Linked DNA regions of Macaca fascicularis. The protein of the gene in region 1 purifies or fractionates together with the protein of each later gene. This does not show direct contact. Links are inferred from orthologs where the notes say so. Each region holds a gene or a part of one and is shown in the gene's direction. Other genes may lie near its edges.

Region 1 (7,418 bases):
AATAAATCAGTGAATTGGCTGGGCACGATGGCCCACGCCTGTAATCCCAGCACTTTGGGAGGCCAAGGTGAGGGGACTGCCTGAGGTCAGGAGTTAAAGACCAGCCTGGCCAACATGGTAAAACCCCGTCTCTACTAAAAATACAAAAATTATCTGGGCATAGTCGTGGGCGCCTGTAATCCCAGCTACTCGGGAGGCTGAGGAAGGAGAACCGCTTGAACCCGGGAGGCAGAGGTTAAAGCGAGCCGAGATCCCACATAATCATGCCACTGCACTCCAGCCTGGGTGATAGAGTGAGATTCTGTCTCCAAACATAAAGAAATGAATCCACTCAGATGTTGATAATGGAACTTGGACCAAATCAGGAAGGGCCTGTCTTCCAGCTGGGTGTGGGTAACTCTTCTCTGTTGAGAAGAGTTAATGAAACATCCCGCTGCTGGAAACGACTGCTCTGACCCAGGCTCCATAGGGAGGATGTGTGTTAGTGTTGTTTTTCATGGGAACAGCGATCCTCGGGACTCTCCCTTCCTCCCCACAAACGGGGAGGGCAGTCGAAGGCAGCATTGGTACAGAAACGCACATACATGTACGTGAGTTCTGCAATTCAATGGAAAGAAATATAAAATGAAGAGAGATCACAGTGGGTGGGGGTCTTCAGGCCCATCCATCTGGGGGCAAGAGCCTGGCAATCTGGCACTCTGGAGCATGCCTCTGTGGAAACAGGGACGTGCCCAGGTAAGAGCAGTGGCCTGGCTCAATTCCAGCTGTGCCACCCACCTACTGTGCAACCCCATTAGGGTACTTCATTTTTCTGAGCCTCACTTTCCTGTTTTGTAAATTGGGAATGGAAATAGAATCTACATCAGATAATTTTTTTTTTTTGAGACAATCTTGCTCTGTCACCCAGGCTGGAGTGCAGTGGCACGATTTCAGCTCACTGCCACCTCCACCGCCCAGGTTCAAGCAATTCTCCCGTGTCAGCCTCCTGAGTAGCTGGGATTACAGGCATGTGCCACCACACCTGGCTAATTTTTATGTTTTCAGTAGTGACGGGATTTTGCCATGTTGGCCAGGCTGGTCTTGAACTCTTGACCTTGGGTGATTTGCCCACCTCGGCCTCCCAAAGTGCTGGGATTCCAGGCGTGAACCATTATGCCCGGCCAGATAATTATTTTTAATTATTATTATTTTTGGAGACAGAACATCGCTCTGTCACCCACACTGGAGTGCAGTGGCGCAATCTTGGCTCACCGTAACCTCCACCTCCCAGGTTCAAGTGATTATCCTGCCTCAGCCTCCTGAGTAGCTGGGATTATAGGCGCACACCACCACGCTCAGCTAAATTTTTGTATTTTTGGTAGAGACAGGGTTTCACCATATTTGCCAGGCTGGTCTTGAACCCTGACCTCAAGTGGTACACCTGCCTTGGCCTCCCAAAGTGCTGGGATTACAGGTGTGAGCCACAGTGCCTGGCCTGTTTTTTAATTTTTAATTTTTTTTCATTTTTATCCTTTTTAGAGATAGGGTCTCACTCTGTCACCCAGGCTGGAGTGCAGTGGCATGATCGTGGCTCACTGCAGCCTCGACCTCCCAGGCTCAAACTATGCTCCTGCCTCCACCTCCAGAGTAGCTGTGACTACCGGGGCATGCCATCACATCTGGTTAATTTTTACATTTTTGGTAGAGACAGGGTCATGACATGTTGCCCAGTCTGTTCTGGATCTCCTGGGTGCAGGCTATCTGCCTGCCTCGGCCTTCCAAAATGTTAGGATTGCAGGCGTGAGCCACTGCGCCTGGCCAACATCAAAGAATTCGATGAGAGAATATGCGCAGAGTCCTCAGCATGATGCCTGGCACATAATAAATGCTCAGTAAGTGTGGCCTTTGGTTGTGGGCCAGGGAGATTTTATCAGGCTCCTCCAAGACCTGGACCCACCTCATAATCACACAAGCCTCTTGGCTGCCATAGTCGTTTGGCTTCCCAAGTTCCCCTGACAAGAGGAAGGCTGAGGACAGGCGCAGTGGCTCACCTGTAATCCCAACACTTTGAGAAGCTAAGGCAGGTGGATCACTTGAGTTCAAGACCAGCCTGGCTAACATGGTGAAACCCCATCTCTACTAAAAATACAAAATTGGCTGGGTGTGATGGTGCATGCATGTAATCCCAGCTAGTGGGGAGGCTGAGGCACGAGAATCGCTTGAACACAGGAGGCAGAGGCTGTAATGAGCTGAGATAGTGCCACTTCTCTCTAGACTGCGCAACAGAATAAAAAAAAAAAAAAAAAAGGAAGACTGGATCCTGGACTCTGGCCCCTGGAAGGGTATAAGAAGCATTTCCATGTGGACTGTGGTGAATTGACCATATGAGACTCAGTCTGCCCTGCCCCTCCCTAGCTGCTTTCTTGGTACAACAGGCTTGACTTGGGAAATCACTCTTCTCAGAATCCCAGTTCCTCAACTGAGAAGTGGTAAAAAGCGATCTGTTTCCAGAGCTGTGTGTGAGTCAAAAGCCAAGGAACACCGTGCACACTGGGAGGTTTTCATTCTAACGCGATTCTTGCAATCTTGCCCCCAGCGCATTTCATGCGGCTCTCTCTCCTCTGTGCCTCAGTTTCCCTGTGTGTAAAGTGTGGGAGAGTCTACTGCCTTCTGTGGAGACTGTAAAATTATGTCTTTAAACTAATTGTTCTGGACGTGGGGCCAAAGTGTTGGGATTACAGGTGAGCCACTGCACCTGGCCTCGGCCTTCCTCTTGTCAGGGGGCCGGAAGTTGCTTAACCCCCTGGATTCCAGTTTCCTCAGCTGTAAAACGGGCTGATGCCTATACAGCCCTCAGAACCACACCTGGCTCAGAAGTCCCCAAATGGTAGTCCTCAAATTTTGGCCAAGGCCAAAGCGGGTGCTTCACTTCTTCGGTGCACACCCTGCAGGTGGGCTCCGGGTGGCAGGTGCAGCTGCGCCCTCTGCCGGTCGGGGCGGGAGACAAACCCGGGGGAGTGGGGAGAACCACAGCGACTCAGGGAGCAATTTCAGAGGAGGCAAGTGGAAGGCGCTGGGGCCGCAGGGGAGTCTGTAAGCGAACAGATGATGAAATGACCAAAGAGTTAATATGTTAGTGCAGCTCTTGGAACGCAGAGGGAAGGACCATTTGCGGTGTGCTTGGTGGTTCCTTCCCTTTGATTTTAGGTCCATTTGGTTTGTCCCGGAGTGCTTGTCAACACGTCAGAGAGCCTGGGAACGGAGCATCCTGGGAAAGATAGTTTCCAGACGGGCTTCCCGCGCCGCTTCCCGGCGCCTTCGGGGCGAGAGGACTCCATTTCCCGACGTGCCCGGGGCCCGGGAGGCGGAGGGCCGCCGTGGCGTCGGGTCCCGGGCCAAGCCGGGGGTGGGGGCTCGAGGCGCCTCCGCGGCCGTGGACTAGCGTCCGTGCGGCCTGGTCCGGGCCATGTCTGTGTGAGGACCCTGCAGCCGCCGCCGCCGCCGCCGCCGCCGCCGCTTCCGTTTCGGCCCTGGCCCCTGCCCGGCAGCGCCGCTCACCATGGGCTCCATTCTCAGCCGCCGCATCGCGGGGGTGGAGGACATCGACATCCAGGCGAACTCGGCCTATCGCTACCCTCCGAAGTCCGGTGAGCGCCCGGCCCCCGGCGCGTACGGCAAGGCGCGGGCTGGAACGCTGGCCCGGCGGGCGCGGGGGCGGGGACTGGGGGCAGGGCGCCCTGCTCGGCGCCCTCTGGGCCTCGTTCCTACCCGGAGCCTTTGCGCGGCCCCGCCGCCCCGACCCCTAGGCGTGGCTGGGGGCCCCGGAGGAACCTGCCCGAGCCGTACCCGGCGCTGCCACTGCCCGGCTTGGGTGACCTTGGGGCAGTCGCTTTGCCCCGGGCGCCTCAGCTCCGTCCTCGTAACACGGGGGAGTTCCTGGGGGAAAGCCTGAGGGCGGGGCGGGGTGCTGAGCGCGGGTCCCGGCGCATCTCTCCTGCCTAGAAAGCGCTCATTGTCATCAGATTGACCTCACCGCGGCGGCCGGCTTTCTCTTTCTTTGGTGGCTTGGTGTGAAGGCCAAGCCTGTGGTTGGGCACTTTCCCTCCCATCAAGACGGAGGCTCTTGGTGTGTGGGTTGGAGGAGTGGGGCTGGGCCCAAGGAGATGATTGTAATTGATCGGGAGGGGCTAGGGTCCTTGCTGACAGGACAGGAGAGTGATTGGAGAGGACCCACCGATACTCAGGTCTCTGTGTTATGGCTGAGGGACCAAAACCGTCAAGGAGGAAGTGGCTGCCAAGGACTCAGCTGGAACCAGTTGGGACCAGGACCAGGTGTGGGGCTCCCTGGGAGCTTGTTCCCGCTCTCTTCCTGCCTCTATTGATGAGCATGGGTTCACTGGGAGCATCTAGCTCCAATTCTCACCTTCCATCTCCTCGTGGGGTCATTTGTGGTGGAAAGGAGAGAAGGGAGAGGAGAGAGAACTTGGGCATCATTGGGACACCCAGATTGGGTCCTCAGATCCTGGCGTCTCATGTGATCTGATGTCTCAGTCTCCTGGGTGTCTCTGGACACCCACAGGCCAGATTTCTCTGAGTGTGGGCCAGGTCCACAAGTGGAGAGGACTGTTAGACATGCCAGGCCCTGCCTTGGACCACCTGGGGCCTGGGAACCTACATTTTCAACCCATTCCTCACGTGAGTTTGACGTCCACTCAGATTTGAAAAACTGCTCTGCCCAGGTTTTGTAAGGTGTGACTAGGTGAGGGCCTGGGGCCACCGCGATGAAGTGAGGGGAACCAGCACAGTTTGGGGGCACTCTGAAGGGGATGGACTCAGAGCTAGGCAGAACGCACTGTTGCCTGGCTGCTGGGGAGTACACACATGTTTCCCAGGCCTAGCAGCAGGGCAGCCTGGCCTTTGGGTGCTTCAGCCCTGGAGTTTCCCTGGAGGTTCTGAGGGCTGATGGCCCCACATCAGATGGAGCAGTTTGCTGTTGTCCTCTTTCATCTCTGATGTTCTTCCAGCCTGTCTCTGGCTGAGTGAGCTTGGTCGAGGTTGCTTAACTCCCTGGATCCCAGTTTCCTCATCTGTAAAACGGGCTGATGCTTTTACAGGTCTCAGAACCACACTTGGCTCAGAAGTCCCCAAATGGTAGCTGCTACAATTGCTCATAAAGGAAGCTAAGTGACTGGCTAATGACCCTAATAGTAAACAGTGTCATGACACAGATATCAAAAAGTTGAGTGGCACTTCCTGTCACCTGGGACCTGAGCTCACTTGATGTCCCTTCACTTGGACTGGACAAAATAACATACATGGCATTTACAGCCCACTTCGGGATCCCACTGTGGCTGAAATGTCATTGCTAATCACTCATGGCCCTCCCTCCCCCTGAGCATCCATCACGGAACACCTGAGTCAGCCACTATTAATTGGTTGGCACTGGCACACAGGTGAAACCCAACAGCTGCCTGGGTCATGTTGCCAGTGCCAGCAGTGTTCCGGGCCCGTCCAGTCCACAGGTCCTCTCCAGCTACGTTTTTCCCTTTCTCTTCTCCGTCCTTCCCTGGGACCTTGCAGATGCTTGTGCTTCTCTTTGTTCATCTCTTCCGGTCCTTGCCTTCGTGCCCCACTGGTTTCCTAGACTCCCCTCGTCTCCTCTCTCCTTAAGGAGAACTCCGTAAGGTCATGGATGGGAGGCAGACCGGGCTTCAGCAGAATTTTGGTGTGTTTCCCCAAGGGCAGACTGGGGACGGTGGAGACGTTTGAGATGATTTCAGGGGTTGCCCCCATGGACCATTCGATCACCCCATGAGAAAGTTTTCTTTTCACATCTGTCAATTTTGTTGATTATGTCAAGGAAAAAGAGTCACTGGGTGGTAATATATGTGTTTTTAACACTTAACACTGTCCAGTTTTCTTAATGGAACTTTCAGTATGTTCTGCAGCAGTGCTCAGCTTGAATTTAATATTTGCTTTGTTTTCACTGTATCTGTTTTACTCTTTCATAGCTTTATTGAGGCGTAGTTGATGTACCACACAACTCATCCATTGTAAACATGATTTGATGACTTTTAGTTAAATTATAGAATTGTGCAGTCATCTGGCTGGGCGTGGTGGCTCACGCCTGTAATCCCAACACTTTGGGAGGCCAAGGCAGGAGGATCACAAGGTCAGGAGATCGAGACCATCCTGGTTAACATGGTGAAACCCTGTCTCTACTAAAAATACAGAAAGTTAGCCGGGCATGATGGCATGCGCCTGTAGTCCCAGCTACTCGGGAGGCTGAGGGAGGACAAATTGCTTGAAGCTGGGAGGCAGAGGTTGCAGTGAGCCAAGATTGCTCCACTGCACTCCAGCCTGAGCAACAGAGTGAGACTCCGTCTCAAAAAAACAAACAAACAAAAGAATTGTGCAGTCATCACCACAGTTACAGACATTTTCCTTGTAAAAGTTTCCTTCCATCTGTTTGCAAAGTCCCTACCCCAACCCCCACCCTCAGCTCATCAGTGATCTGCTTTCTGTTTTCTTTGAGATGGAGTCTTGCTCTGTCATCCAGGATGGAATGCAATGGCATGATCTTGGCTCAGTGCAACCTCCGCCTCCTGGGTTCAAGTGATTCTCCTGTTTCAGCCTCCCGAGTAACTGGGATTACAGGTGCATGCCACCACACCTGGCTAATTTTTAAATTTTTAGTACAGATGGGGTTTTACCATATTGGCCAGTCTGGTCTCGAACTCCTGACCTCAGGTGATCTGCCTGCCTCAGCCTCCCAAAGTGCTGGGATTACAGGCGTGAGCCACCTTGCCCAGCCTTTTCTGTTTTTTTTGAGACAGAGTCTTGCTCTGTTGCCCTGGAGTTCTGTGGTGTGATCTCGGCTCACTACAACCTCTGCCTCCTGGTTTCAGGTGATTCTCCTGCCTCAGCCTCCCGAGTAGCTGGGATTACAGGCACTTGCCACTACACCAGGCTAATTTTTGTATTTTTAGTAGACACGGGGTTTCACCATGTTGGCAAGGATGGTCTTGAACTCCTGACCTCAGGTGATCCGCCCAGCTTGGCCTCCAAAGTCCTGGGATTACAGGGGTGAGCCACTGCGCCCGGCTTGCTTTCTGTTCGTATCTTTGTGTGTGTGTGAAAAGTGTCTATTTGAGTTTTTGTCCAATTTTTAAAAACTGGATTGTTTATCGTATGGAGTTGTGACAAAGAGTTCTTTATGTGTTCTGGATAAGATTCCTGTATCAGCCATGTGATTTGCAAATATATTCTCCCAGTCTGGCTTGTCTTTTAATTTTCTTAATGGTGTTTCTTTTGAAGAGCAAAAGTTTTGAATTTTGACAAAGTCTCATTTGTTGCTTTTTAAGTGGATACTGCTTTTGGAGTTATGTTTAAGAAATCTTGGGGCCATGCGCGGTGGCTCATGCCTATAATCCCAGCAC
Region 2 (7,077 bases), about 80 Mb from region 1:
TCCCGGGTGCACTCCGCAGATGCGCCTGTGTCCGTCAGATGGTACAAGAATCTCCCAGCAACAGTTGTTGATAGGGAGTCTGAAGCCACCAGATGCCACGTGGTCTGTTCACACCGTGGACACCACAGTCTGAGGCAGAGGATTGCAGCCACCGGCATGGGTGCACCTCAGCCAGAGAGAGTAGCTGCGACCCCATTCACGTCATGGGCCAGATGGGCCGGCAGCGACTCGCGGGGGCCGTTCCGGGTGGGAACGCTTTGTCTGTTGGTCTGCTGCTACTTATGTGGCTGGTTCAGGTCAGGCATCCCTCACCCTGCATATTTATCATTGGTGCATTTTTATGTATGTTGTACCTCAATTAAAAGATTTTAGGGCCGGGCGCAGTGACTCACGCCTGTAATTCCAGCACTTTGGGAGGCCGGAGGCGGGCGGATCATGAGGTCAGGAGTTCAAGACCATCCTGGCTGACATGGTGAAACCCCGTCTCTACTAAAGATACAAAAAATTAGCCGGGGATGGTGGCGGGCCCCTGTAGTCTCAGCCACTCGGGAGGCTGAGGCAGGAGAATGGTGTGAACCCAGGAGGTGAAGCTTGCCGTGAGCTGAGATCGCGCCACTGCACTCCAGCCTGGGTGACAGAACAAGACTCTGTCTAAAAAAAAATATATATATATATATATTTTTTTTAGGCCGGGCATGGTGATCCACACCTATAATCCCAGCACTTTGGTAGGCTGAGGTGGGAGGATCACGAGGTCAGGAGATCGAGACTATCCTGGTCAACATGGTGAAACCCCGTCTCTACTAAAAAAAAAATACAAAAATTAGCCAGGTAGGCCGGGCGCGGTGGCTCACGCCTGTAATCCCAGCACTTTGGGAGGCCGAGGCGGGCGGATCACAAGGTCAGGAGATCGAGACCACGGTGAAACGCCGTCTCTACTAAAAATACAAAAAATTAGCCGGGCGCGGTGGCGGGCGCCTGTAGTCCCAGCTACTCAGGAGGCTGAGGCAGGAGAATGGCGTAAACCCAGGAGGCGGAGCTTGCAGTGAGCCGAGATCGCGCCACTGCACTCCAGCCTGGGCGACAGAGCGAGACTCCGTCTCAAAAAACAAAACAAAACAAAACAAAAAAATTAGCCGGGTATGGTGGCGGGCGCCTGTAGTCTCAGCTACTCGGGAGGCTGAGGCAGGAGAATTGCTTGAACCCGGTAGGTGGAGGCTACAGTGAGCCGAGATCATGCCACTGCACTACAGCCTGGGTGATGGCGAGACTTCATCTCAAAAAAAAAAAAAAAGGCCGGGCGCGGTGGCTCAAGCCTGTAATCCCAGCACTTTGGGAGGCCGAGACGGGCGGATCACAAGGTCAGGAGATCGAGACCATCCTGGCTAACACGGTGAAACCCCGTCTCTACTAAAAAATACAAAAAAAAAAAAAAACTAGCCGGGCGAGGTGGCGGGCGCCTGTAGTCCCAGCTACTTGGGAGGCTGAGGCAGGAGAATGGCGTAAACCCGGGAGGCGGAGCTTGCAGTGAGCTGAGATCCGGCCACTGCACTCCAGCCCAGGCGACAGAGCGAGACTCCGTCTCAAAAAAAAAAAAAAAAAAAAAAAAAAAAAAAAAAAAAAAAAAATTTAAAGCAGACGGGGTGTGGGGGCTCACCCCTGTAATCTCAGCATTTTGGGAGGCTGAGGCGGGCAGATCACCTGAGGCCAGGAGTTCAAGACCAGCCTGGTCAACATGGTGAAATCACATCTCTACTAAAAATACCAAAATTAGCCGAGTGTGGTGGCGGGCGCCTGCAGTCCCAGCTACTCGGGAGGCTGAGGCATGGGTATCGCTTGAATCCAGGAGGCAGAGGTTGTAGTGAGCCGAGAATGCACCACTACACTCCAGCCTGGGCAACAGAGTGAAACTGTGTCTCAAATAAGTAAATAAAAATTATATGTACACACACACACACACACACACACACACACACACTTTTTTTTTTTTTTTTTGAGTCTGAATCTCTCTCTGTTTCCCAGGCTGGAGTGCAGTGGTGTGATCTCGGCTCACTACAACCTCCGCCTCCTGGGTTCAAGCAATTCTGCCTCAGCCTTCGAGTAGCTGGGACTGCAGGCGCCCGCCACCACACCCGGCTAATTTTTTTATTTTTATTAGAGATGAGGTTTCACCATATTAACCAGGCTGGTCTTGAACTCCTGACCTCAGACCCGCCCGTCTCAGCCTCCCAAAGTGCTGGGATTACAGGGGTGAGCCACTGTGCCTGGCAATAATGATTTTTGGGGTTTTTTTGAGACAGTTTTGCTCTTGTTGCCCAGGCTGGAGTGCAGTGGCACAATCTCAGCTCACAACAACGTCCACCTCCTGTGTTCAAGCCTCAGCCTCCCGATTCTCCTGCCTCAGCCTCCCGATTCTCCTGCCTCAGCCTCCCGAGTAACTGGAATTACAGGCGCCCACCACCACGCCTGGCTAATTTTTGTATTTTTAGTAGAGATGGGGTTTCACAGTGTCGGCCAGGCTGGTCTCGAACTCCTGACCTCAGGTGATCCACCCGCCTTGGGCTCCCAAAGTGCTGGGATGACAGGCGTGAGCCACCACACCCATCAATAATAAAAAATTTCAAAGCAAAAATAAAGATTTATAAACTGTAAAATGCAGATGTAACAAGTGAGTAATATTTACTGAATCAGTAAATATGAATGATATTGATGTGCTCACGGAGGTGGCTTGCGAGTGGTGTGAGCATTTCATGGTCAGAGATTGGCAGTCGGGCCAGAGACCGGATGGATTTTAACTCGAACATCACAGATGCAAACACTGAACACCCTGACGCGGGCGGCGCCTGCGCCGTTGCCTCCTTCTCTGCACCTGTAAATGGGGTGAATAATTCCATCCCCCTCCCGCTTCCACCTTCAGAAGATTTTTTGTCAGCACAGAGGCTGTCAGCACAGTCTCAGCGAGGAAGTGCTGGGAACGCCCTGGAGTGAACCCAGGAAGATGCCTGCGCTGGGTGCCGTGGCCCTCCCCACCGCCCCTGCTGGGTCTCGGGCCATGCCTGCCTGCTGTGAACCCCTGCAGAGCACCACGTGCGAGCGCTGGCTGGAGGCGAGAGGTCTGCCTTTGATGTGGCTCTTGGGGCAGGGCCTGTGGTGCCTTCCACAGCGGAAATGGGGCGCCGCGCGGGGAGGGCGGGAGCGGCGTCCCGGGTGCCCCTGTGAGGATGAGCGAGATGACTGGAGGGTCCTGAGGACCTCACCAGGGTGCCCCCAGCCCGTCCGCTCCCAGGAAGCGACACCCCCAGCCCCAGGGCTGCAGCTCAGGGGGTCGCTACTCTGGCTGGGCGAGGCTGGGCCCTTGGGGGCAGGGGCCAGAGTGGCCTCAGCCTCTCTGAGATGCCTAAAAGCACCGACTCCTCTGGGGCTCACTAGCATTGGGCCGTTTCACGCTCTGCCGCGGCCGGAAGCCCCCTCACCCCCAGCGATGTGCAGTTCCTGCAGGCTCACGCAGTTTCCAGAACTTTAATTATGGGAAAGTTCTCCCTGGTCCCGCCCCCAAATCTGCCATGAACGTTGACAGCTGAGTTGCTGCCCCATGCGTGCTTTGGCTGAGAGCAGAGGGTGCCCTGTCCTCATTGAGCTGCTGACGTGGGGAGGGGTGGGGCCTAGGGGTGCCATCCATGGCCAGTGATTGAGGCAGAGGAGCCTCTGGAGGGGACAGGTCCCAGGGAAGCCCCGGACTCCTAGAGGGGAGGCCAGGTGGGGTCCCTGGTGACCAGGACAGACTGTGGTGTTTTTTAACGTAAGGGAGATATGCTACATGACAGACCCCCGGGGTGCTGCGCACCGCCTGGTGGCAGGCGGGCCGTGGTGGGCGCTCACGCCCCTGCCACGTGCCCATCATGTGCCTGCCCTCAGTGGGAGGGGCTCCGAGGATGACTTTTAAAAATGCAGAGAAAGGCTCCATTCTTCCCAGGACCTCAGCCCAACCCTGGTCCAGGGAGGCAGGAGACAGAGGCCAGGAGGGGGCCAGAGGTGTTGAAATGTCCTGGGGACCTGAGCAGCCACCAGGGAAGAGGCAGGGAGGGAGCTGAGGACCAGGCTTGTCCACACTGGTTGTGAGATGCCTTGAGCCCAGAGGGTTGATGCCAGGAGGTGTCTGGACTGGCTGGGCCATGCCTGGACTGACCTGTCCAGCCAGGGAGAGGGTGAGTGTGAGGGCAGATCTGGGGGTGCCCAGATGGACGGAGGCAGGCATGGGGGATACCCAAGGCCCCCTGGCAGCACCATGAGCTAAGCAGGACACCTGGAGGGGGAGACCTGTGGGGACCTGGGGGCCTCCAGTGACCCCTTCCTGCTTCCTGAACAGGACTATGCCTGTGCAGGGATCCCAGAGAAGACTGCTGGGCTCCCTGAACTCCACCCCCACAGCCACCCCCCACCTGGGGCTGGCTGCCAACCAGACAGGAGCCCGGTGCCGAGAGGTGTCCATCCCTGACGGGCTCTTTCTCAGCTTGGGGCTGGTGAGCTTGGTGGAGAACGTGCTGGTGGTGACCGCCATTGCCAAGAACCGGAACCTCCACTCACCCATGTACTGCTTCATCTGCTGCCTGGCCCTGTCAGACCTGCTGGTGAGCGGGAGCAACATGCTGGAGACGGCCGTCACCCTCCTGCTGGAGGCCGGTGCACTGGTGGCCCGGGCTGCCGTGGTGCAGCAGCTGGACAATGTCATTGACGTGATCACCTGCAGCTCCATGCTGTCCAGCCTCTGCTTCCTGGGCGCCATTGCCGTGGACCGCTACATCTCCATCTTCTACGCACTGCGCTACCACAGCATCGTGACGTTGCCGCGGGCACAGCGAGCCATCGCAGCCATCTGGGTGGCCAGTGTCCTCTGCAGCACGCTCTTCATTGCCTACTACGACCACGCGGCCGTCCTGCTGTGCCTCGTGGTCTTCTTCCTGGCCATGCTGGTACTCATGGCTGTGCTGTACGTCCACATGCTGGCCCGGGCCTGCCAGCACGCCCAGGGCATTGCCCGGCTCCACAAGAGGCAGCGTCTGGCCCACCAGGGCTTTGGCCTCAAAGGCGCTGCCACCCTCACCATCCTGCTGGGTATTTTCTTCCTCTGCTGGGGCCCCTTCTTCCTGCATCTCACACTCATTGTCCTCTGCCCCCAGCACCCCACCTGCAGCTGCATCTTCAAGAACTTCAACCTCTTTCTCGCCCTCATCATCTGCAATGCCATCATTGACCCCCTCATCTACGCCTTCCGCAGCCAGGAGCTCCGCAGGACGCTCAAGGAGGTGCTGCTGTGCTCCTGGTGAGCGCGGCACGGGCAGCTTTCAGCGTGCTGGGCAGAGGGAGGTGGTGATATTGTGTGGCCTGGTTTCTGTGTGACCCTGGGCAGTCCCTTACCTCCCTGGTCCCCATTTGTCAAAGAGGATGGACTGACCTCTGAAGGTGTTGAAGCATGGACCCTTCTGGGACCAGGGAGAGGGGTCCCTGCAAAACTCCAGGCAGGACTTCTCACCAGCAGTCGTGGGTAACGGAGGAGGACATGGGGAGGTTGTGAGGCCTCAGGCTCTGGGCACCAGGGGCCGACCTCAGGCTCCTGAAGAGACATTCTCCGCCCACTCCCGGGGCACTCCACCTGCTCCAATGGGCATCCACCCCACCCCATCTTTGCTGCCAACCTCAGGACCTGTGCCCTCGTCAGCTGGGATGTGGAGGCTCTGGGTGGAAGAGTGTGCCAAGAGCTACTCCCACAACAGCCCCAGGAGAAGTGACTTTGTGACCAGAAAGCTTCAGCTACAGTCATGCAATGGCTTCTGCCAAAGGAAGTGAAATCCCTGCCTCAAGCCAAGGGACCAGGTTTGCAGAAACCTCACAAGTGGTGTGGGGCTGAGCCCTCCTGAGCACTGGTTCTAAGGCTCAGACTGGGAACTGGGGCCTCAGCCTGCTTTCCTGCAGCAGGCACCCAGGCAGACAGCCCTGGCAAATGCCTGACTCAGTGACCAGTGCCTGGGAGCACGGGGCCAGGAAAGTCTGGTAATAAATGTGACTCAGCATCACCCACCTTAGCCCCTTCCAGAAAGTGCTTCAAGTTTGTGGGTGGAGGGGTAGGGGAGGGGAAGGTGGGCAGGGATGAGAGTCAAGAGAGTCCAGGAAGAAAGGAGTCCTGGAAAACGTGGCTGCCTCCCCAGGTGAGGAAGCCACAGCCCCAGAGGCCTTGAACGCCTGGGGAGTGTGGAGGTCCCAACCAGGCTTGCGCTGACCCTGCTTCTCAGGTTTCTCTCCGTGCTTACAAACCCCAGCCTAGAGGAATGAGGAGCAGGTGCAGCAGGGCCCCAGCCCCTCCACTCTGACACTGTCCCAGCTGCAGGAGAGGTGGGTGCCCAGCCCTCCATGTGACCACAGGTGAGCTCAGCCAGGCACACTCCTTTGCTGGCCCTGGCCCTGAGTCCCTCCAGCCGTGATGAGCCGTGAATGGGACCATCCCTGGTCACTCTGAGATGCCTGGAAGGGAGCTCAGTGCAGGCGGGCTGGGGGCTGGGTCTGCTGTCTGTCCAGCATTGCCATTCTGGGAGTGGGCAGGTGGGGTGGGGGTCGGGGGTGGTCTGTGTTGAGCCAGTCCTGGGAAGTGCTGGATGTGAGGCCTCTGAAGATGAGGATGAGGCAGAGGCCCAGCGGCGGATAAGTCCCCTGGGAATGAACTATGCTGCCTGGTGCTAGGGAGCAGTGGAGCCCCTGGGCCATCCCTCTGCTGAAACCTGGGCATCTCGCTGAAGAGACCAACTCCATTTCCTCTGCAGACGCTGAGCACTCAGTCACCCCCTTTCCGGAACAGGCTCAGTGGAGGTTGCAGGGCTGCCATCAGCCAACTCCTAGGCAGGCCCAGTCAGCAGCCCCCTGGCCAGCCCCACCCCTGCGTCAGCTCCAGCCCTGACTGCCGGCCTCAGAACTGGGAGCTGCTTCCTGGCAGGGCCCGCCTGTGCTGGGAGACCGGACGGTGAGTCAGCCTTCAGCCTGGCACCAGAGCTCTCTGAGGATGGAGCAGGGGTTGGCTGGCCTGAGGCT

What was found.
Region 2: the proteins of MGRN1 (region 1) and MC1R purify together in Homo sapiens (affinity purification with western blotting; 3 studies listed by BioGRID). This does not show direct contact. The link is inferred for Macaca fascicularis from reciprocal best matches to the Homo sapiens genes MGRN1 and MC1R.

Annotation. Positions count from the first base shown.
Region 1 is NC_088394.1:5,438,660-5,446,077, forward strand, and holds the start of MGRN1 (E3 ubiquitin-protein ligase MGRN1), read left to right. Parts: upstream 1-3,387; 5' UTR 3,388-3,538; coding exon 3,539-3,626; intron 3,627-7,418. UniProt on the Homo sapiens protein: E3 ubiquitin-protein ligase. Mediates monoubiquitination at multiple sites of TSG101 in the presence of UBE2D1, but not of UBE2G1, nor UBE2H. Plays a role in the regulation of endosome-to-lysosome trafficking.
Region 2 is NC_088394.1:85,852,557-85,859,633, forward strand, and holds MC1R (melanocyte-stimulating hormone receptor), read left to right. Parts: upstream 1-3,026; 5' UTR 3,027-4,370; coding exon 4,371-5,324; 3' UTR 5,325-6,078; downstream 6,079-7,077. UniProt on the Homo sapiens protein: Receptor for MSH (alpha, beta and gamma) and ACTH. The activity of this receptor is mediated by G proteins which activate adenylate cyclase.